6 linked regions of the Macaca mulatta genome follow. The protein of the gene in region 1 interacts with the protein of each later gene in a pairwise test. Links are inferred from orthologs where the notes say so. Each region holds a gene or a part of one and is shown in the gene's direction. Other genes may lie near its edges.

What was found.
Region 2: the proteins of ERBB2 (region 1) and FGFR4 interact in a protein complementation assay, tested with the Homo sapiens proteins (2 studies listed by BioGRID, with this or other methods). The link is inferred for Macaca mulatta from reciprocal best matches to the Homo sapiens genes ERBB2 and FGFR4.
Region 3: the proteins of ERBB2 (region 1) and GAPDH interact in a protein complementation assay, tested with the Homo sapiens proteins (2 studies listed by BioGRID and IntAct, with this or other methods). The link is inferred for Macaca mulatta from reciprocal best matches to the Homo sapiens genes ERBB2 and GAPDH.
Region 4: the proteins of ERBB2 (region 1) and EZR interact in a protein complementation assay, tested with the Homo sapiens proteins (2 studies listed by BioGRID and IntAct, with this or other methods). The link is inferred for Macaca mulatta from reciprocal best matches to the Homo sapiens genes ERBB2 and EZR.
Region 5: the proteins of ERBB2 (region 1) and PDGFRA interact in a protein complementation assay, tested with the Homo sapiens proteins (2 studies listed by BioGRID, with this or other methods). The link is inferred for Macaca mulatta from reciprocal best matches to the Homo sapiens genes ERBB2 and PDGFRA.
Region 6: the proteins of ERBB2 (region 1) and HDAC6 interact in a protein complementation assay, tested with the Homo sapiens proteins (2 studies listed by BioGRID and IntAct, with this or other methods). The link is inferred for Macaca mulatta from reciprocal best matches to the Homo sapiens genes ERBB2 and HDAC6.

Annotation. Positions count from the first base shown.
Region 1 is NC_133421.1:64,070,491-64,073,990, forward strand, and holds part of ERBB2 (receptor tyrosine-protein kinase erbB-2), read left to right. Parts: coding exon 1-73; intron 74-535; coding exon of another isoform or gene 536-637; intron 638-788; coding exon 789-949; intron 950-3,500. UniProt on the Homo sapiens protein: Protein tyrosine kinase that is part of several cell surface receptor complexes, but that apparently needs a coreceptor for ligand binding. Essential component of a neuregulin-receptor complex, although neuregulins do not interact with it alone.
Region 2 is NC_133411.1:186,050,394-186,054,682, forward strand, and holds the start of FGFR4 (fibroblast growth factor receptor 4), read left to right. Parts: upstream 1-1,489; 5' UTR 1,490-1,674; intron 1,675-2,016; exon of another isoform or gene 2,017-2,602; intron 2,603-3,848; 5' UTR 3,849-3,901; coding exon 3,902-3,992; intron 3,993-4,289. UniProt on the Homo sapiens protein: Tyrosine-protein kinase that acts as a cell-surface receptor for fibroblast growth factors and plays a role in the regulation of cell proliferation, differentiation and migration, and in regulation of lipid metabolism, bile acid biosynthesis, glucose uptake, vitamin D metabolism and phosphate homeostasis.
Region 3 is NC_133416.1:7,484,595-7,488,600, forward strand, and holds the start of GAPDH (glyceraldehyde-3-phosphate dehydrogenase), read left to right. Parts: upstream 1-1,206; 5' UTR 1,207-1,249; exon of another isoform or gene 1,250-1,341; intron 1,342-1,518; 5' UTR 1,519-1,535; coding exon 1,536-1,564; intron 1,565-3,239; coding exon 3,240-3,339; exon of another isoform or gene 3,340-3,362; intron 3,363-3,420; coding exon 3,421-3,527; intron 3,528-3,649; coding exon 3,650-3,740; intron 3,741-3,830; coding exon 3,831-3,946; intron 3,947-4,006. UniProt on the Homo sapiens protein: Has both glyceraldehyde-3-phosphate dehydrogenase and nitrosylase activities, thereby playing a role in glycolysis and nuclear functions, respectively.
Region 4 is NC_133409.1:77,632,686-77,636,185, reverse strand, and holds part of EZR (ezrin), read left to right. Parts: intron 1-911; coding exon 912-1,075; intron 1,076-1,437; coding exon 1,438-1,568; intron 1,569-2,384; coding exon 2,385-2,545; intron 2,546-2,909; coding exon 2,910-3,002; intron 3,003-3,500. UniProt on the Homo sapiens protein: Probably involved in connections of major cytoskeletal structures to the plasma membrane. In epithelial cells, required for the formation of microvilli and membrane ruffles on the apical pole. Along with PLEKHG6, required for normal macropinocytosis.
Region 5 is NC_133410.1:79,224,984-79,228,483, reverse strand, and holds part of PDGFRA (platelet-derived growth factor receptor alpha), read left to right. Parts: intron 1-962; coding exon 963-1,156; intron 1,157-1,975; coding exon 1,976-2,070; intron 2,071-2,285; coding exon 2,286-2,418; intron 2,419-3,500. UniProt on the Homo sapiens protein: Tyrosine-protein kinase that acts as a cell-surface receptor for PDGFA, PDGFB and PDGFC and plays an essential role in the regulation of embryonic development, cell proliferation, survival and chemotaxis.
Region 6 is NC_133426.1:48,883,169-48,886,668, forward strand, and holds part of HDAC6 (protein deacetylase HDAC6), read left to right. Parts: intron 1-735; coding exon 736-820; intron 821-929; coding exon 930-970; intron 971-1,715; coding exon 1,716-1,812; intron 1,813-1,956; coding exon 1,957-2,054; exon of another isoform or gene 2,055-2,109; intron 2,110-3,500.

The DNA of each region.
Region 1 (3,500 bases):
GAATGCCAGACACTGTTTGCCGTGCCACCCTGAGTGTCAGCCCCAGAATGGCTCAGTGACATGTTTTGGACCGGTGAGCTGCTGGCGGGCTCAGAGCTGGGTGGAGGGGTGCAGCGAGGGGGATTGCCAGGGACTTGGCAGGATGGCGAGACACGGCAGGGTGTGCCGTCTGGTAAAATATCCCTGGAGAGGGCTCAGCACTCAGACCCGAACAGCAGCAGAGTGGCAGGAAAGGGGGCCCGGGGGACCCTGGGGCCCTTCAGACTATGAAAAGGTTCTAAGGAGGTCTGCGTTTGCGGCTGTGGCTGTGGCTGTGCTAGGGTGGTTAGCCCTGCGGGCTCAGGCGTCAGACTACCTGGATTCAGACCCAGGTCCTGCTTCCAACCTTGGTGTTTTATTCCTAAAATGGGTATTGTAATAGTACCTACCTTGCTGGGGTGTGGTGAGAATGAAATTAAACAGGGCTTGGCACAGTGAAGCCCGGGAAAGGCTTTCTATGCAGCAGTGACTGTTGTTACTCGCTGTTACACCTTAGGTAATGCGTTTTCTTCTCTGGGTGCCTCCCATTCTCTGGCTCAAGTCCCCGCCCAGGATCAAGCTTGGAGGAGGGCCCCGAGGGAGGGTCCACAGAGACTGGGTGAAGAGCAGAGGTGTTTGTCCCAGGAGCATGGTGAAAATTGCTGCTGGGTGGCCTTGGGAAGCACAAAGGGGACCCAACTAAGGGCCTGATCCTACTGCCCTGGGGGTGTCAGTGCTAGCCCCCTACAAACCTTTTCTGCCCCTCCCAGGAGGCTGACCAGTGTGTGGCCTGTGCCCACTATAAGGACCCTCCCTTCTGCGTGGCCCGCTGCCCCAGCGGTGTGAAACCTGACCTCTCCTACATGCCCATCTGGAAGTTTCCAGATGAGGAGGGCACGTGCCAGCCTTGCCCCATCAACTGCACCCACTCGTGAGTCTGAGGGTCTTTTCTGCAGAAAGGAGGACTTTCCTTTCAGGGGTCTCTCTGGGGCTCTTACTATAAAAGGGGACCAACTCTCCCTTTATCATATCTTATTTCTGATGGCAAAAATAACACATCGTTGGGGCCGGGCACGGTGGCTCACGCCCATAATCCCAGCACTGTGGGAGGCCGAGGCGGACAGATGACCTGAGGTCAGGAGTTTGAGACCAGCCTGGCTAACACGGTGAAACCCCGTCTCTACTAAATAATATAAAAAATTAGCCGGGTGTGGTGGTGGGCGCCTGTAATCCCAGCTACTCGGCAGGCTGAGGCAGGAGAATGGCATGAACTCAGGAAGCGGAGCTTGTAGGGAGCTGAGACTGCGCCACTGCACTCCAGCCTAGGCAACAGAACGAGACTCCATCTCAAAAAAAATAAAAATAAAAATAACACATTGTTAAAATGGTAAAATTAAAACATGAAATATAAATTAATGCCCTAGCAGTTCTATCCCCACTGTTAATAATTTGAAATATTTTTCCTCTAGTTATTTTTGTCTGTGCACATTCTAATATGTATATATAAGTTAACATACATTAATATTATTCTCCAGTTATTTTTATCTGTGCACGTTCTAACACACACACACACACACACACACATATATATATATATATTTAGATGGAGTCTCACTCTGTCACCCAGGCTGGAGTGCAGTGGTGCAATCTTGGCTCACTGCAGCCTCTACCTCCTGGGTTCAAGCAATTCTCCTGCCTTGGCCTCCTGAGTAGCTGGGATTACAGGAACATGCTACCTTGCCTAGTTAATTTTTGTATTTTCAGTAGATGGGGTTTCACCATGTTGGCCAGGCTGGTCTTGAACCGCTGACCTCAGGTGATCTGCCAGCCTCGGCCTCCCAAAGTGTTGGGATTACAGGGGTGAGCCACCATGCCCAGTCATATATTTCTTTTTACCAAATAGAATCATAGTTCATATTGTTTTTGCAAATTGCTTTTTCTCACTTTCCAGGACCTTGAAATGTTTTTCCATGTTCTAACATGGTGATCTACCTTATTCTTTTAATTTTTCTTATTTAGTTGTCTTTACACATGAAACACATGAATACATCCTTGTGATAAACATTTTCAGTAACATAAAAGTATAAATGTTACAAAACCACTCAACTCCCTGTCCACCCAGCCTCTCCTGTGGGCTGGGAGAACCACCGCATTGACTTGTGTGTTCATCCTTCTGGGCTCTTTTCTGCACACTTATATAGACACACTACATTTATATTAGGTTGAGTCAAATAAGATTGCTGTTTGTGTAAACCAAAAATGGGCACGCGGTGACTCACACCTGTAATTCCAGCACTTTGGGAGTCTGAGGCAGGCGGATCACTTGAGATCAGGAGTTCGAGATCAATCTGGCCAACGTAGCGACACCCTGTCTCTACTAAAAATACAAAAATTAGCCGGGTATGGTGATGCACACCTGAAATCCCAGCTACTCGGGAGGCTGAGGTAGGAGAAAACCCGTGAGGCGGAGGTTTCAATGAGCCTAGATTGTGCCACTGCACTCCAGCCTGGATGACAGAACAAGACTCTTGTCTCAAAAAAAAAAAAAAAAAAGGTCAAGAAACAGCAATTTCATATAGTTCCACTTGTCATCAGATTTGTGTGCGTGTACATTTTGTAATGTAAATGGGATCATTCTCTTCATACTATTCTGCAGTTTACTTTCCCTCCGACTTGAGGTATCCTTTCTTGTGAGTACAGACAGATCTACCATCTTTATTCTTTTTTAATTATTCAACCTATAACATGGATGTAATTTCACTTTGTTTTTGAGGGATATTGAGCTTGTTTCCCTGTTTTCGCAGTTTATTGCAATTGAGCTCCATACACAAGTGAGCATTCTTCTGTATGCCCCCTAGTGTCCACACATTGGCATTTTTAGGGTATATAGTGCTGGCAATGTTTATCACAAGGATGTATTCATGCGTTTCAATTTAAAGACAACTAAATGAGAAAAATTAAAAGAATATGGGTCCGGGCTGGGTGCAGTGGCTCACGCCTGTAATCCCAGCACTTTGGGAGGCCGAGGCAGGCAGATCACCAGAGGTCAGGAGTTCAAGACCAGCCTGGCCAACATGGCAAAACCCCGTCTCTACTAAAAATACAAAAATTAGCCGGGCGTGGTGGTGGGCACCTGTAATCCCAGCTATTTGAGAAGCTGAGACAGGAGAATTGCTTGAACCTGGGCGGCGGAGGTTGCGGTGAGCCGAGATTGCACCAGTGCACTCCAACCTGGGCAACAGAGCGAAACTCCATCTCGAGAAAAAAAAGAAAAGAAAAAAAAAAGAGAATATGGGTCCAGATCCATATGGATCCTAGATCCAGATCACGGTATTAGAACATGGAAAAACACTGCAAGATTCTGTTAAGTGACAAAAGCATTTGCAAGCAATATGTACGGTCTGTATTCAGAGGAGAATTTGCTGCATCATAGATAATATTTCGTAGGTGTTGCCAAACCGTTCTCTGGAGAAGTCGTATCA
Region 2 (4,289 bases), on another chromosome or scaffold:
CAAATCAGATATATGATTGGCTAGTGTTTGAACAAGGCGATTTGGCTAACTATGATTGGTTCCCGCCATTTCTGATATTTTGGTTCAAACTTTGAGGCGGGAGAGCAGGTTTATGGCAGCAAGAGTTTATCTTACTTAAACACGTCTTGTGACCTTGCCTCAGAACTTACAAAACCTCTGGTATGTGCAAAACAAAATCTCTGGTACGTGCAGAAAACCAGGTACTCACAGAACTTACGAAATCTCTGGTATGTGCAAAGATTAGAGAGCAGAACAAGGGTGTAGCGGGTGGGGGGCGGGTACACATCTATCTTTGTGTCCTTTCACTAGTATTACAAAGCAAGCGCTGCATGCCAGGCTTACATATACTGCTAACATGTCTACTTTTTGTTTTTTTGAGATGGAGTCTCGCTCTGTCGCCCAGGCTGGAGTGCAGTGGCCGATCTCGGCTCACTGCAAGCTCCGCCTCCCGGGTTCACGCCATTCTCCTGCCTCAGCCTCCCGAGTAGCTGGGACCACAGGCGCCCGCCACCTCGCCCGGCTAGTTTTTTGTATTTTTTAGTAGAGACGGGGTTTCACCGGGTTAGCCAGGATGGTCTCGATCTCCTGACCTCGTGATCCGCCCGTCTTGGCCTCCCAAAGTGCTGGGATTACAGGCTTGAGCCACCGCGCCCAGCCACATGTCTACTTTTTGCAACAACCTCTTGAGGGTGAGACTATCATTTGCCTGTTTCACTGAAAAGACAGTGAAGACCGAGGCCTTGTGTGATGGTGCTGAGAGCTGGGCCTATGACGTCCAGCCCTGTAGTCTGTGCTCTGAACCACTTCACTCTGCTTCTTTCTCCATCCTCACAACAGAGAAGTCATCTAAGAGGAGCTTGCAAGTCCGGAGGGCTTCCTGGAGGAAGTGAGCTGAGAATAATATAAAATTAACCAGACCAAAGGGCATTCCAGGAAGAGGGAATGGTACCTGAAACTGCCCAGGAGTAGCAGGGAGCCAGGAGGCGTGGGTCATGGCAATAATCTATGTATAAAGAGCTATGGGAAGCTATAGGAAAATTTAAGGGAGTGGCTGACACAGTCAGATTTGTGTTGTAAGTATCACTCCCCAGGTTGCGCAGAGAACAAATGAGGGAGCCGAAGGAAGGGGTTCTCCTATCCACTGCACGGTACTGCGCAGAAGACAGGGGAGCCAGGCATTCCCTGAGGGGTGAAAAGCAAGCAGTAGAGCTGGGTAGTGGACTAGAACTTAGAAGCCTGGCCTGGAGCCTGGGTGGGGCGAAAGAGGAGGAGCCTGAATGGGGTGTGTATAGGGGGTGTGTGTAGGGGTGTGTGTATAGGCTGGGGCGGGGTCCCTGGAGTGGGCTGACTGGGTCGGCGGCGGGTCTCCAGGTGGGCGGGGCTCTTGGCCACCTCCCCCGCCGGCCACACCTCTCTCCGGCTCGAGCTGGGCCAGGAGGGGTGGGCCCGAGGGGGCGTGGCAGGAGGCGGGCGGGCCCGAGCAGGAGGGGCGGGCCCGAGGGGCGGGGCAGGAGGTGGGCCGCCCGCGGCCACGCCGCCGTCGCGGGTACATTCCTTGCTCCCGGCTGAGGAGCGCTTGGGCTGTCTGCGGACCCCGCCGGGTGCACGGGTCGCGGCCGGCTGGAGCTGGGAGTGAGGCGGCAGAGGAGCCAGGTGAGTAGGAGGCAGGCGACCAGGACCCTGTGCAGGGCGCGGAGTCACGCAGGCTCGAGGTGAGCCGGAACCCTTGCGGGCCCGGGCTGCGCTCCCAGCCGCCAGGGGGCGAGCGGCGGCGGGGCTGCAGGGACTGCCCCTCCCGGCGCAGGGGACCTGGGCGTCCGCCGGGCGGCAGGGGGTGGAGGGGGCGGTAAATCAGTAACCCGCAGTGCACACAGGGCCTTTTGTCCCGCTCCGTCCAAAGAGCACCCTGGCCGCGGAGCTGGTTACTCATTGCCCACCGAGGCGGGGGCAGGCCGGCCCTGTGCAGCTACCCTCGGGACCCATTGATTCGCACCTCCCCCCAGGCTGGCCCGGCAAGGGTGGGGGAGGACAAGCTTGTCCCTGCGGCTGTCTTCGCGCCGGCGGCAGAGATGAGGGAGCTGAGGCCCCGAAAGTTTCAGTCACTTAGCGCCCGGGGGCCTCCACCGCGAGTGCGGGAGGCTGTCTGATGCCTAAGGCAGGCCCTCTGTTCCCACGTGTGGGGTGGTCGGTCAGCGGTCAGCAGCCACGGGTGACTTTTCCACGGACTCTGATATCAGGGCAGCCTGGGGTAGGAATAAAATCCCCGGGCCTCCCCAGCCACTCCCAGCCCAAGCTGTGTACTCAAAGAGCTGCCCTCCCTGCCAAGCCGAGCTTGGTAGGGGGTTTTACCAAGGGGGATCCAACTGGATTTGAGAGTTGAAGTGGCCTCAGAGACAGCAGTATCTGAGTCAAATAGAGAAGAGGAATGGGGGGCACAGAGGGATGGGCAAGAGAGCATATGTGACCAGTTTTGAGAGCCAATGGCTTCAGCGCTCCTGAAGGGACAGACGGTGTGACCAAAGAGATAGGCAGCGGAACAGAGGGAGCCCTAGGATGCTGAGCTGAATCCTGCTGGGCACAGGTAACCATTAAGGGCTTGCAAGCTGGGGGCATGACATGGCAGACTTGTAGTTTTTTAAAACTCTGCTGGAAGATGAAGGTTGAAGAGCCCAGGGAGAGGATGTTTCCAAAGGCCCATGCAAGAGATGGCCATGACCTGCCCTGAGTCAGGGCAGGGGAAGCCAGATGGACTGGAAGTGGAGTGGCAGTGAGCAAGGGTAAGGAGGTGTGATAGGCTTCCCACACAGGGTAGATCCAGAGACACCAGTGCCACCCATAGGCCCCTAGGACTGCAGTGATCACAGTATTCCTTTGTCCCAGCTGAGACTCGGTTCTGAGTGTTCTGTTTTGGGGAACAGAGGTGTCCTTGGTAGCATTTGGAAGAGGATAGCCAGCTGGGGTGTGTGTACATCACAGCCTGACAGTAACAGCACCCGAACCAGAGGTGACTGGCTGAGGGCAGACCCAGGGCAACAGGTGAACAGTTCTAGGGCCGGGCACAGGGAGAAGAACATTCCAACACTCTGTGTGCCCAGTGCCGATGCACGTTGTCTCTTCTATCCTCAAAACAGTCCTATGAGGATAGTAACCCAGAGAGAGACAGAGACAAGGAATTACAAGTTGATGAGAGTCGGGATTTGAACTTGGCTCTGGTGGATGGATAATTACGGTCTGTATTCTTTACAAAACCGTGTGTACCTCGGATGGAGTTGGTGCATGACAAGCAGAGGTATTCAGGGATGCGGTCCTGCTTGCTACGGAAGGAGCTGCCTTGTCAGTGGTGGGCGCCCAGCTCTGGAAATGTCAGTAATGCTATAAGGAGTGGGGATTGGATCAGATAACATCCAGATGCTGAAGTTTGGCCTTGTATCATTTTTCACTTTGTTTTTTGGCTCTTCGGCAATCAATTCATTTATTCAGCAAAAAATAAATTACGTGTGCCAAGAGCATGCAGAAGATAGTCTCCGTTCTCTGCTTCCCTCCAAGAAAAGAATCCCAAAACTGCTTTCTGTGAACGTGTGCCAGGGTCCCAGCAGGACTCAAGGAGAGCAGGAAGCCCAGCCCAGACCCCTTGCACAACCTACTGTAGGAAGGCATCAGGCTCTGGCTACAGCAGAGCTGGTTCCAGTCTGCACTGCCACAGCCTGGCCAGGGACTTGGACACATCTACTGGCCACTTCCTGTCTCCATTTCCTCATCTGCAAAATAAGGGAAAGCCCCCGCAAAGGTGCATGTGGAGCAGGAGCTCTTTTCCCCCCCTATTCTAGGAAGGCAGTTGGTGGGAAGTCCAGCCTGGGCCCCTGAGAGCTGCGGGAAGGAGATGCGGCTGCTGTCGGCCCTCTTGGGGGTCCTGCTGAGTGTGCCTGGGCCTCCAGTCTTGTCCCTGGAGGCCTCGGAGGAAGTGGAGCTGGGTATGGCTTCTGAGGGGGGAGAGGGTGGCAGGGGTGGGAAGAGTGGGCACCAGGAGGGGGCTGCTGGGCTGAGCAAAGCTGGAAAGGATCCTTGCCCAGGCCCTGAGAAAGTGGCAGCAGGGCAGGGCTCAACCACTGAGACTCAGTCAGTGCCTGGCTTCCAGCAAGCATCCATGTATCTCTGTGTCTGCGAGAGAGGACTGGCCTCGCAGGGTGCAGGGCCCTAAGCTGGGCCGCAGAGCTGGTGGTGAGCTCCTTGCCTGGGTGTGTGCGCGCGCGCGTGTGTGTGTGTGTTCT
Region 3 (4,006 bases), on another chromosome or scaffold:
GGCCACCCCACCCCACCCCCTTCCTTACAAGTGTTCAGCACGCTCCCATCCCACACTCACAAACCTGGCCCTCTGCCCTCCTACCAGAGAAATGGATACCCTGTGGGAAGGGGCAGGGGGCCTGTTCCCACCATGTGCCCAAGACCTCTTTTCCCACTTTTTCCCTCTTCTTGACTCACCCTGCCCTCAATATCCCCCAGCGAAGCCAGTGAAGGGGAGTCCCTGGCTCCTGGCTCGCCTGCACGTCCCAGGGCGGGGAGGCACTTCCGCCCTCACGTCCCGCTCTTCGCCCCGGGCTGGATGGAGTGAAAAGCACACTGTCTCTCACCCTAGGCAGCACAGCCCACGGGGCTCCAGGAGTGACTTTGTGGGAGGCCTCTGGGCCCCCACCAGCCATCCTGTCCTCCGCCTGGGGCCCCAGCCCGGGGAGAGCCGCTGGTGCACACAGGGCCTGGATTGTCTGCCCTAATCATCAGGTCCAAGCTACAGGGCTGCAGGACATCGTGACCTTCCGTGTAGAAACCTCCCCCTCAAGCCGCCTCCCGAGCCTCCTTCCTCTCCAGGCCCCCACTGCCCAGTGCCCAGGCCAGGCCTCGGTCCCAGAGAGGCCAGGAGCCAGGAGATGGGGAGGGGGAAGTGGGGGCTGGGAAGGGCCCACGGGCCCCTCCTAGCCCTTTGCTTCAGCTATTCCGGTGTCACTACCGCAGAGCCTCGAGGAGAAGTTCCCCAACTTTCCCGCCTCTCAGCCTTTGAAAGAAAGGGGAGGGGGCAGGCCGCGTGCAGCCGCGAGCCGTGCAGGGCTCGGGCTCCAATTCCCCATCTCAGTCGCTCCCAAAGTCCTGTTTCATCCGTGCGTGTAAGGGCCCCCGTCCTTGACTCCCTAGTCTCCTGCTGCCCACACTCCAGTCCTGGGAAGCAGCACCGATCACCTCCCATCGGGCCAGTCTCAGTCCCTTCCCCCCTCCGTCGGGGCCCACACGCTTGATGCGTGCCCAGTTGAACTAGGCGGCTGCGGAAAAAAAAAAAGAGCAGGGAGAAAGCAGGGCCCCGCTACTCGCGGTTTTACGGGCGCACGTAGCTCAGGCCTCAAGTCCTTGGACTGGGACTGGCTGAGCCCGGCGGGAGGCGGGGTCAGAGTCACCGCCTGCCGCCGCGCCCCCGGGTTTCTATAAATTGAGCCCGCAGCCTCCCCCTGCGCTCTCTGCTCCTCCTGTTCGAGAGTCAGCCGCATTTTCTCTTGCATCGCCAGGTGAAGACGGGCGGAGAGGAGCCCGGAGGCTAGGGACGGGCCTGAAGGCGGCAGGAGCGGGCGTGGGCCGGACGTGTTCGCGCCGCTGCGGGGTGGGCGCGGGCCAGGGTCCGGGTCCGGGCCCGGGCTGCCTCCGCATTGCAGGGGCGGGCGGAGGACGTGATGCGGCGCGGGCTGGGCATGGAGGCTGGTGGGGGGAGGGGAGGGGAGGGGAGGCGTGGGTGTCGACCGGGACCACTAGGCGCTCACTGTTCTCTCTCTCCGCGCAGCGCATCCCTGAGACACCATGGGGAAGGTGAAGGTCGGAGTCAACGGGTGAGTTCGTGGGTGGCTGGGGGGCCCTGGGCCGCCCGCAAACTGCGTCTACGAGCCTTGCGGGCTCCGGGTCTTTGCTGTCGTATGGGGTAGGGTAGCTGCGTCCGGCAAGGAGAGCTCAAGGTCAGCGCTCGGACCTGGCGGAGCCCCGCACCCAGGCTGTGGCGCCCTGTGCAGCTCCGCCCTTGCGGCGCCATCTGCCCGGGGCCTGCCTTCCCTAGTCCCCAGGAACAGGAGGTCCCTACTCCCGCCCGAGATTCCATCCGACCCGGACCCCTAGCTGGGGACGCTTTCTTTCCTTTCGCGCTCTGCGAGGTCACGTGTCGCAGAGGAGCCCCTCCCCCATGGCCTCCGGCACCGCAGGCCCCGGGATGCTAGTGCGCAGCGGGTGCATCCCAGTCCGGAGGCTGCGCCTGCGGTAGAGCGGCCGCCATGTTGCAACCGGGAAGGAAATGAATGGGCCGCCGTTAGGAAACCCTGCCGGTGACTAACCCTGCGCTCCTGCCTCGGTGGGTGGAGTCGCGTGTGGCGGGGAAGTCAGGTGGAGCGAGGCTTCCCGGCCCCTGCTCTCAAGTCGGCCCCTGAGCTGCAAGCCCTATTTCCCCTCCGGGTGATGCTTTTTCTAGATAATTCTCTGGTAAATCAAAGAAGTGGGTTTATGGAGGTCCTCCTGTGTCCCCTCCCTCCAGAGGTGTGGTGGCTGTGGCTTGGTGCCAAGCCGGGGGGAGCTGAGTCATCGGTAGTTGGAAAAGGACATTTCCACCGCAAAATGGCCCCTCTGGCGGTGGCCCCTTTCTGCAGCGGCGGCTCACCTTATGGCCCCCCTCTTCCCCTGCCAGCCTAGCGTTGACCCCACCCCAAAGGCCAGGCTGTAAATGTCACCCGGAGGATTGGGTGTCTGGGAGCCTCGGGAAACCTGCCCTTCTCCCCATTCCGTCTTCCAGAAACCAGATCTCCCACCGCACCCTGGTCTGAGGATAAATATAGCTGCTGACCTTTCTGTAACTGGGGGCCTGGGCTTGGGCCGTCTCCCATCCCTTCTCCCACACACATGCACACACCTGTGCTCCCACTCCTGAATTCTGGAAAAGAGCTAGGAAAGGACTAGAAGCTTGCAAATTAAAGCCCTGGGACTAGGGGGTTAAAAAACAACTTCCCCTCTTCCCCCGGCCCAATCTCTGTCCCTTTTGTAGGCGGGTCTTAGAGAAGGGGTGGGCTTGCCCTGTCCAATTAATTTCTGACCTTTATTCCTGCCCTTTGAGTTTGGTGATGCTGAGTGTACAAATCTTTTCTCCTTAAACGGTGCAGTTTGAGGCTGAGCTAGGCAGCAGCAAGCATTCCTGGGGTGGCATAGTGAGGTGCTGAATGCCACGTGCAAAGCTTGTGCCCAGACTGTGGGTGGCAGTGCCCCACATGGCCGCTTCTCCTGGAAGGGCTTCCTATGACGGGGGGTGTTAGGCAGCAGTGGAGCCTTCAGTTGCAGCCATGCCGTAAAGCCAGGCCAGCCTGGCAGGGGAGCTCAAGGGAGATACAATTCACCTCTTAATGGAGGTAAGGAGATGTTGGGGGTAAGGAGATGCTGCATTCGCCCTCTTAATGGAGAGGTGTCCTAGGGCAGCTCACATACTGTGGAGAAGCCTCCCCTCCTCATGCCTTCTTGCCTCTTGTCTCTTAGATTTGGTCGTATTGGGCGCCTGGTCACCAGGGCTGCTTTTAACTCTGGTAAAGTGGATATTGTTGCCATCAATGACCCCTTCATTGACCTCAACTACATGGTGAGTGCTGCCCCAAAGCTGATGTGGGAGGAGCCACCTGGCTGCCAGGCAGCCCCTTCACACCCTTGCGTATTCCCCCAGGTTTACATGTTCCAGTATGATTCCACCCATGGCAAGTTCCATGGCACCGTGAAGGCTGAGAACGGGAAGCTCGTCATCAATGGAAGCCCCATCACCATCTTCCAGGAGTGAGTGGAAGGCAGTGGGAGAAATGTGCTGTGGGGGGCAGCTAGGGTGGTGCGGCTCCCTTGGGTACATGGTAACCTCGTGTCCCTCAATATGTCCTATCCCTGTCTCCCCCACCCCATAGGCGAGATCCCTCCAAAATCAAGTGGGGCGATGCTGGCGCTGAGTACGTCGTGGAGTCCACTGGCGTCTTCACCACCACGGAGAAGGCTGGGGTGAGTGCAGGAGGGCCCGCGGTAGGGGAAGCTGGCTCAGCCCTGCAGAGGCAGAACCCGGGTTTATAACTGTCTACTTCTCTGCTGTAGGCTCATTTGCAGGGGGGAGCCAAAAGGGTCATCATCTCTGCCCCCTCTGCTGACGCCCCCATGTTCGTCATGGGTGTGAACCATGAGAAGTATGACAACAGCCTCAAGATCGTCAGGTGAGGAAGGCAGGGCCAGTGGAGAAGCGGCCAGCCTGGCACCCTGTGGACACGCTCCCC
Region 4 (3,500 bases), on another chromosome or scaffold:
GCTGGGAGGATTGAGTCCCATATCTGAAGTCCCTTGATACACTGGCATCCCCGCCTTATGGTTGAAGGCCCTGAGCCTGATGAAGGGATGTGCTCAAGGCTATGGAGCTTGCACATGGCTATTTGTGCCGCACGAGCTGGTGATGTCTGGCAGGTACTGAGCACCTCAAATATTGACCTTGGGAAGATAGAGATGAGTGAATGTGGCCCCTGCTCTCAGGAGCTGATGGCCTCATAGGAGTGAGATGCTGAAAGGAGTCACTGGAGTGAAGCAACAGTGCCACTGTGGCGAGCACCTGTAGCAGGTGTGGCAGGTGCAGGAGCAGGGCTGGACAGCATTGAGAGAGAACCGAGAGCACATGGGAGGCTGGGCCCAGAGTCAAAAGGTCTCCATGTGTGTTGGGCCCAGGCCCTGGAGCTCATCCTGGAGCTCCTAGGCTGGCATTGAAGGTCAGGGTGGTCAGCATAGCAATAACAGTGTGGGAGGGGAGGCTGTGCCAGAGGAAGCTCAAATAGAAGCAGAGGCAATCCAGGCAAGCATTGGGGACGGAGCAGTGAGGCTGGAGAGGACATCATGAAAGGTGGCTACCTGGAAGAGCAGGCAGCTCTGAGACTTGAAGGGTTTCCCAAGGCTGAGAGTTCTCACCTTGGAAAAGCTTTGCAGTTTACGTGCAGCGGGATTTCAGTGTGCATGCAGCATGTACATACCCACATGTAACTGCACACACACGCAGCACATGCCCTTCCTCCACCCGTCCTGGAGAATGCACATTTCCAGTGCTGAGACGCTGCCATCCCTGTTCTGCTACATTTGTTCTTTTAGAAAAGTTCCGGACCTTTGTGAAGTATGGTTTGGGAGAAGAAAACCAAACAAAGGAGCTTAAGTCCAGGTGGCCCTGTTCTGTTTTGTAGGACTTTGTGTTTTATGCCCCCCGCCTGAGAATTAACAAGCGGATCCTGCAGCTCTGCATGGGCAACCACGAGCTGTACATGCGCCGCAGGAAGCCCGACACCATCGAGGTGCAGCAGATGAAGGCCCAGGCCCGGGAGGAGAAGCATCAGAAGCAGCTGGAGCGGTGAGCGTGGGAGGCCAGAGCAGGGGCCTGTGTTTTCCCAGCTCAGCTACCGCCAGCCCTGCCTGCTGAGGCAGCCAGTGCCTGTCAGGTGACCGCGCAGCTGATGGGGAGAGCCTGGTGGAATGGAACTCAGTCGCCACACTGGGATCTTCGAGGCCTTTGTCTCTGGGAGGTTGCTGTGGTGCTGAGTCTGGTGTCAGCCCTGGAGTGGCTGCTCCTTCAGGCAGCTCAGGCTGGTGGCAGGCCAGGGTGGCCCTCAGGATGCCAAGTCCATCCTGGAGCTGCACATACCCGTGAAGTGTGTTGACCCCTCACTTTCCTGCCAGTCTAAATCTCCCTGTGCCTCTTTTTCCCTGCACCAGGCAACAGCTAGAAACAGAGAAGAAAAGGAGAGAAACTGTGGAGAGAGAGAAAGAGCAGATGATGCGTGAGAAGGAGGAGCTGATGCTGCGGCTGCAGGACTATGAGGAGAAGACCAAGAAGGCAGAGAGAGGTCAGGCGCCCTGGGGCTGGCTCTCTACACTGGGTCATGCATTTCCACAGGGGCGGGGGCCACACCCACCCAACCACTGGAAAGGAAACCAAGAACATGTCCCACACTGCAGACTCACAACCGAAATGATAAAATAGTTATTTGGTTTGGAAAACAATTCTGTAGTTCATTAACTTTGGTGCTCATTGTTCTAAGACATTGTATTTTAAAATTTCCCTAGTCCTTTGCAGTAAGTGCTCCATCACCCAGTTTCCCTGATGAGTACAGTAAGGTTTGGTGCGGTACAGTGATCTTCCCACAGTCCCACAGCCCATGAGTGACAGGGCCATGTTGCACTGTCATTGACCTCTAGACTAAAACCCAAAGGCTTCTTCAGAACCAGACTCCCCAGCACAGCTCCAGTCGACAACCCCAGCAGCTGGGCTGATTACATAAGGTGCCACAGATGCTGTGTTCACTGGCAGCCCTTAGCACAGATGGGAAGGGTGTTTGTGTTCTGAGTGGAGTGTGGGCCACCAGCACAGCGGGCGGCTGACCTGGGGAGAGTTAACGCCAAGAGGGTTGAGTCAGGCATGCCAGAAGGTGCCTGGCCCACCACGTTGGATGGGTTTCTAGCCATCTTGAGGAAGTTGTCATGCAAACAACAGCAATGAGCTGTGAAGTGCTTTCCTCCAGGGTCACTGGAAGACATCCCCCCTTGACCTGTGACTTGGTCTAGGGCTCTGTGGCTTTGGGGGTGCAAATGGAAGGCGAAGGCGAAGGCGCCTAGGTTCCTGGGCCAAGGGCTTGAACGGCTCTGGCTTTGTGTCTTCTCAGAGCTCTCGGAGCAGATTCAGAGGGCCCTGCAGCTGGAGGAGGAGAGGAAGCGGGCGCAGGAGGAGGCTGAGCGCCTAGAGGCTGACCGCATGGCCGCGCTGCGGGCTAAGGAGGAGCTGGAGAGACAGGCGGTGGATCAGATAAAGAGCCAGGAGCAGCTGGTAGGAATGGCCTGAGTTTCAAGATGCTGAATTATAGAGAGGCTGCTTCTGAGGATGGAAAATGTGACACCTGCCTTGTAATAATTGTCATGACTGGAAGCTGTAAGCTGATCTGCTGGGGAATGAAGCAGCTGGCGGGGAAGGGGCCGGGCTGTTGCCAGGGTCACCCGTTGAAGGTGGGTGTGGGCATCCAGGAAGTGATGGTAGGGAGGGTGCACGATGAACCCTGCTAGCCATGAAGTGGGGGTGACGGGGACTCAGATGTCACAGTGGAGGCTGCTCACCAACACACATTAACACTCATTCACAACTGGACTCTTGAAAGGATATCAGAAGTCACTTTAGCTTGGCATTCCCTTCCCAGGCTGCGGAGCTTGCAGAATACACTGCCAAGATTGCCCTCCTGGAAGAGGCGCGGAGGCGCAAGGAGGATGAGGTTGAAGAGTGGCAGCACAGGGTGAGTCTGCATGGGGGAAGCCGCACGGCCACGGCACCTGTTGCCCACTGCCTGGGCAGTGGGCCCTTCTGCAGGTGGGTGGGTTGGGGGAGAGGTTTGGCTCAGCTGCCATGTCCTACTGGAAGCTTCTGGGAGTCTCACGATCCTCTGCCGATACCAGTTGTATTACTGAAGTAGACATCCCCGGCCGGGCGCGGTGGCTCAAGCCTGTAATCCCAGCACTTTGGGAGGCCGAGGCGGGCGGATCACAAGGTCAGGAGATCGAGACCACAGTGAAACCCCGTCTCTACTAAAAATACAAAAAATTAGCCGGGCACGGTGGCGGGCGCCTGTAGTCCCAGCTACTCAGGAGGCTGAGGCAGGAGAATGGCGGGAACCCGGGAGGCGGAGCTTGCAGTGAGCCGAGATCGCGCCACTGCACTCCAGCCTGGGCAACAGCGTGAGACTCCGTCTCAAAAAAAAAAAAAAAAAAAAAAAAAAGACATCCCCAAAGAGATG
Region 5 (3,500 bases), on another chromosome or scaffold:
CCTTGACACAAATGATGTCAAATACATTTTACTTATTGACTATAAGATAGGGTTGTGGGTGTGATAGCTTCAGGGTGTGTATCTTTTGTCACAAATAGCTGTAAGGAGAAGGTCCATGGCTTTCATTAGACCTTCAAAGTGTCTCCAATCTAAAAAAAAGAGTGAATTTTAAGAACCACTGTCCTAAGAAGATTTTTACTACCCTGGCTCACATACCTTATTTGGTGAACTTTGTTTGGTGGTCGGACTGCATGTAAACATAAATGTGACTGCTTAGTCCCTTATCTGCCCACCTGCTGTTTGGTGGGTTAATTCGCCAGTGCCTCCTCCTTCCTCCCAGTTCTCAGCCTTCTTAAATGGGCACGTGAGCGGTGTGTTTACACTTCATCCCTGGTAACTGGTTGTGTTCAGAAGCCTCAGTTGTTTCTTCCTCTAGACAGAGACTCCTCATCTTAACTTCTCCTAGGGCTAAGGATGGACTTGGATGTTGACTGGAGTTTCTAGTAGATTCCAGTGTGGAGCAGGAATCTAGCTCTTATAACTCAATCAGAGGATCATCGCAACCCTAGTGACACCTTAGGGGCTCTTCCCAGAGTGGGTGTTGAGAAGGAAGGGTTCCAGGCCTTTTTGAAGGTGTGGGAGATTGAGATAATTAAATATGGTTGAAATTGAACTGTTCACTTGGCTCATGGTTCAAGATTGGGGAATGGTAGTCATATTTTATTAAACTTGTTTATCTCTGCCTGCTATGTAAACACTTTCAGTTCATGTGTGAATTATGCCCTCTTTAGCACATGCAGACAAGTTTTAATGTTCATCTGCATGTAAAATAAATCAGTGTGTAGTGCCCCAAAATGTAGACAAGATCCCAACACCTTGCCATCTTAGAGTGTTCCCTTGGCTCCACTCATTGCCATGACTCTCAGGAATTGGCCCTATACTTAGGCCCTTTTTCTCTCTAGATGTAATAATGAAACTTCCTGGACGATTTTGGCCAACAATGTCTCAAACATCATCACGGAGATCCACCCCCGAGACAGGAGTACCGTGGAGGGCCTTGTGACTTTTGCCAAAGTGGAAGAGACCATTGCGGTGAGATGCCTGGCTAAGAATCTCCTTGGAGCTGAGAACCGAGAGCTGAAGCTGGTGGCTCCCAGTGAGTTCCTCAACAGTCAGGACAACTCATCAGCTGAGCCCCATTTCCCCCAGGCGGAACTTTGAATCCCAAATAGGAGTCATATAGAAATGAAGGTCCCAAGGCAGAAATTCAGTTATGAATGCTCTTAAAGGCAGGCATGTGGACTTTGCTTTATTTTGTTTTGTGTTTTGAGACAGAGTCTTGCTCTGTTGCCCAGGCTGGAGTGCAGTGGCACAATATTGGCTCACTGCAACCTCTACCTACGACTTTGTTTTAGATTCAGATCCAAAACAGCATTTTGCAGAGGCTCCTCAACATTTTGCTTGTCTAATAATATAGCTACAGTTTCTACTTTGAATGTCTGTGTATGTGGATGCAGTGTGGGGAAGAAGGATCTTCTGTCTCATTGCTCCTTAAAAGATGGATGAAGCCAAAAGCAATATAAGCAAAATGCAATTTACAAAATAAGCTTTATAATAAAGCATATGAAGTAGAAGTGTCTGTCCATATAGTAGCTGTCAATTGCATTTATCCATCTTTATTTTTCCTATTCAAATTCTGTCCACAAGGTTACTGTTGGAGCAACTTTGGAGAAAATACTGAGTTCTCCTGATTGAATTTTGTCCCCTTCTTGTATAAGGAAAGAGTTGATGTAGTTTCCTGGGTGTAGATAGTTTGAGAGATGGTACTTCCTATCCCTAAAATGAACCAGACAGCCCTCACATTTCCCCACCAGCAGTGAGAGATTCCTGGCTCAGACACAGCCACACTACCTTGCTGCCCCCATGCATGTCTGCCAGGAAACTTTTCATTGTACCTCTCTCTCTTGTCACGTAGCCCTGCGTTCTGAACTCACGGTGGCTGCCGCAGTCCTGGTGCTGCTGGTGATTGTGATTATCTCACTCATTGTCCTGGTTGTCATTTGGAAACAGGTAGATATTTTCTTATAAAACTAAAGATCTTTGAAGCCAATGAGAACAAGAACAGCAACCTGGCTCAGTGCTTGGCACAGAGAAGGAGCTTAGTAATTATATGTGGAGTGAACGTTGTTGGACTCTACTGTGTCCAGTCACTGTGCAGCTTCATTGAAGCTCTGGTGCACTGGGACTTTGGTAATTCACCAGTTACCTGTCCTGGTCGTTTATAGAAACCGAGGTATGAAATTCGCTGGAGGGTCATTGAATCAATCAGCCCAGATGGACATGAATATATTTATGTGGACCCAATGCAGCTGCCTTATGACTCGAGATGGGAGTTTCCAAGAGATGGACTAGTGCTTGGTAAGTTCCATGGGGTGACATCCCAAGACTCCCTTTTCCCTTGCACACAGCTTTACAATTTATAGGCCTTGGCAGAATAGAGACCTGAGCTTGTGCTTAGTAAGAACTAGGCAATAGAAATTTGCTTTCAGAAATACATTTCTGTCTTGACAATGAGTTAATTGGATCACTGCAATGATTTTTTAAAATCTCGTTCCATAACAAATTATAGTTAAGGAAAATTTTACAAAGGGAGAAGAGAATATGAAGAGGGCTGGCAAGGATACCCACCAAAATTGCTTTGCTTTAGAAATGACACGAATTGAAAATGAGATGAATTTCTGTGACTAAAAATGAGCAGATGAGAAATGAATGAGGACAACCACAAAATGTGTTTTGATTCAGTACGTTTTAAAGATGCATTAGATACTCCTTTTTATATATTTGGAATATGGAATATAAAAATATAGGTACATTTTAAGGCAAAATATGTAAAAATAAGCAAGCCAACTTACCACAAGCATTTCAAATATTTCAATCCTGGGCTAAGACCAAGAATATGAAGCTTTAGTCCAAGGCAGTATTTCTTTTTTTAAATCACACTCCTAATGAATGAAAGCAAGACAAAGGCAAATGAAAGTATAGGTAGAGGCTGTGTTAGGATGAATGATCTAACAGTATATATGTTAAAGAATGCCAAATGCAGGTTTTAATTACTTACCTGTCTCATTCCACAATACAGAAGTCTGCTTGGAGAGTTACTTAAACTGAAATCAAGCAAGGCAGCAGAGTGAAATCACCTTTCCAAAAGTTGCAACTGAGGAAATTATGACAGTGAATGAGATATGATCTAACCAACTCCATCAAGTTGTCCTTGTTCCTTCCTGGGCATAGGCCAAACTAACTTTGAGAGGAACTTATTTTATAGTTTGACTTTGAAAAAAAGACAATAATAGCCCTTTGCCAAACCCTCTTCTTGCCTGGGAACTAGACTGCCTTTGTGGGACTAACAAATTAGCTACAAGATTAGAAAGCACGGTTTAGGGGTCACTGTTGTGAAACCTGAGGTCAGTGCTTGAGATATTTTGGAGATCCTGTATTTT
Region 6 (3,500 bases), on another chromosome or scaffold:
AGGAGATGGGGTCAGAGAGGTGATGGAGAACAGACAGTTTTGGGCCTTCTGGGCATGGGAAATACTTTGGCTTTTACTCAGAATGGGATGGGAGCCTCAAAAAAAAAAAATGGGACATGAACTGATTAGGGTTTTAACCAGTGTCTGGCTGTCATGCACAGAAAGGACTGTTGAGGTGGCGAGGGTCGAAGCAGGGAGGCCGAGGAGATGCCACCACAGCCCAGGCAGGAGGGTATAGTAGTAGCAGTGGCAGTGGTGAGGAGAGGGTCACACTCCAGAGCTGATGGAAGGCAGGACTGACACCACAGTTTTGTTTTGTTTGTTTTTTTTTTTTTGAGACAGAGTCTCACTCTGTCTCCCAGGCTGGAGTGCAGTGGCCGGATCTCAGCTCACTGCAAGCTCCGCCTCCCGGGTTTACGCCATTCTCCTGCCTCAGCCTCCCGAGTAGCTGGGACTACAGGCGCCCGCCACCTCGCCCGGCTAGTTTTTTGTATTTTTTAGTAGAGATGGGGTTTCACTGTGTTAGCCAGGATGGTCTCGATCTCCTGACCTCGTGATCCGCCCGTCTCGGCCTCCCAAAGTGCTGGGATTACAGGCTTGAGCCACCACGCCCGGCCTCACACCACAGTTTTGGGGTAAGCAGCTGTGGAAGGGTGGATGGGGAGATGTGGAGAGAGCAGATGTGGAGCTCCCCAGTGTCCCCATGCATCTGTGACTGTGTCTCCATCTCCCCAGCTTCCCGGAAGGCCCTGAGCGGCTCCATGCCATCAAAGAGCAACTGATCCAGGAGGGCCTCCTAGATCGCTGTGTGTCCTTTCAGGTAAGGCCCCCAAGCCAACACTCTGGGTAAAGGGCAGGGAGCTGACCTGACCTGGGCTCAGCCCATGCCTTAACCCTTTATCCCGCCTTTATTCCTCATCTCTCCCCAGGCCCGGTTTGCTGAAAAGGAAGAGCTGATGTTGGTTCACAGGTGAAGGCTTGGGAGCCTTGTAGGGATGGGGAGGAGCCTGCCCTGGACAAACCAGGGCAAGCTAAACGCTTTGGGAAGGAATGTCATGGTTTCTGTGGCCAGCCTTGGGCAAGTCGCTGAGCCTCTCTGAATCTATGTCATCGCCTGTAACAAGGGAACCAGTAAACTTAAGTTCCTCAGGAGAGTTCGATGTGTGTCAGGTGCTTAGAACAGGGCCTGATGTATCATCAGTCCATCATGAGCTATTACTGTTATCATGATCTGATTGAACAGATGGTGGATGTGTGGACAGAGTGATCGGTTGGATGTGTGGATGTGTGGACAGAGTGATGGTGGGTGTGTGGACAGTTTCCCCAGGGGCTGCAGGAACCCAGATTTAGAGGCCTGGTGCTGTGTGGCTCGAGGAAAGCTAGCTTGGCAGAGTGGGTATCTGAGCTGAGCTTTAAGAGGAGAAAAAGAGTGAGTCAGATGAAGAGGGTGACTGAGGGAAGGGAAGAACAGACAGCTAGACAAGAGTGGCCAAAGGCCTGAAAGTAGGATTTGGTATGGCTAGAGCAGGGGAGCAGAGAATATTACTGGAACTGAGGCGGGCTAGGGAAGAAACAGAATGTATCTTAAATCCCGGCTATTCCTTCAGGTTGACAGTTGGGGGAGCCGAGCCCTAATTTGACCAGGGGTTTGGTGTGTGGACGGCTCAGGTGGGGAAGAGACAGGGCCCTGAATCTCATCTCCCATCTGTGTCTAGCCTAGAATATATTGATCTGATGGAAACAACTCAGTACATGAATGAGGGAGAACTCCGCGTCCTAGCAGACACTTACGACTCAGTTTATCTGCATCCGGTATGGATGAGAACTGTGGGGGCAGGGAATGGTGGCAATCTTGGGGTCCCTATCCCTATGCCCACCCCACCCTGGGGCAAGCAGCTGAGTGGATAGGGCTGTTCTCTCCCTCACTCCCTCTCTGGCTCCCCACTGTCTCTCCAGAACTCATACTCCTGTGCCTGCCTGGCCTCAGGCTCTGTCCTCAGGCTGGTGGATGCGGTCCTGGGGGCTGAGATCCGGAATGGCATGGCCATCATTAGGTAGGACTCTCCAGCATTTGACTTTTTACATTGTTTTAAAGTCTTTCCTTCAAGTGTAAAATGTATTGATATGGGTAATATATTCATGTGATTCAAGAATCCAAAGGTACAAAAGAGAATATAATTAAAAATCTGTCTCCCATCCTTGTCATCCAGACACCTGCCTCCTCTCATGGGAGGTAGTCATTGGAACCACTGACTCATGTGTCCTCCCACAAAGTCTTATTCAAGAAATAAATACCATATTTCATTGATTCTAAGGTGTACATTTTTTCATATCTGTAACATCTTGAAATCCAGATGCATCTTACAAACAGTGACATCTCAGAATTCCATTGGCAGTATTTTCTGCTTTGTTTTTGGCATGTAAAATCATGGTACATCTTATCATCGTTGGCATCCCAGAATTGATGAAATGCAAAAGGTTTCTCCTCCCTCCCCTGTTTTTAACCACAAATGGTAGTAACACGACATACTCCCTTCGTACCATCTTTTCACTTACACATCTTGGAAACCTTTCTCTGACAGCATGTATCTTGGAGCCCGGTAGAACACCATTGTGTAAATGTACTCTTTGTTAATCAGCTCCCGACTAATGGGCATTTTGGTTCTCCTCAGTCATTTGCTGTTTTAAAAAAAATGCTACAGCAGGCCGGGCGCGGTGACTCAAGCCTGTAATCCCAGCACTTTGGTAGGCCGAGATGGCTGGATCACGAGGTCAGGAGATTGAGACCATCCTGGCTAACACACTGAAACCCCGTCTCTACTAAAAAAATACAAAAAACTAGCCGGGCGAGGTGGCGGGCGCCTGTAGTCCCAGCTACTCGGGAGGCTGAGGCAAGAGAATGGCATAAACCTGGGAGGCGGAGCTTGCAGTGAGCTGAGATCCGGCCACTACACTCCAGCCTGGGCGACAGAGCGAGACTCCATCTCAAAAAAAAAAAAGAAAAAATGCTACAGCAAATATACTAGTACCTTTATAAAAATAAAATGTTATTTTATACTAACATAAAATAAAAATGTTACTTCACCCTTTTTAAAATACAGGTTGTGGGCTAAGTTCCTGCAACAGAGTGACTGGGTTTGAGAATGTATGCATTGATCATTTTATTTTTATTTTTATGTATTATTTATTTTTTGGAGACGGAGTCTTGCTCTGTCACCAGGCTGGAGTGCAGTGGCGCAATCTTGGCTCACTGCAACCTCCGCCTCCTGGGTTCAAGTGATTCTCCTGCCTCAACCTCCAAAGTAGCTGGGACTACAGGCGCCCGCCACCACATCTGGCTAGTTGTTTGTATTTTTAGTAGAGACAGGGTTTCACCATGTTGGTCAGGATGGTCTCGATCTCTTGACCTCGTGATCCACCCGCCTCGGCCTACCAAAGTGCTGGGATTACAGGCGTGAGCCATCATGCCCGGCCTTTATCATTTTAATGAACATTTTCAA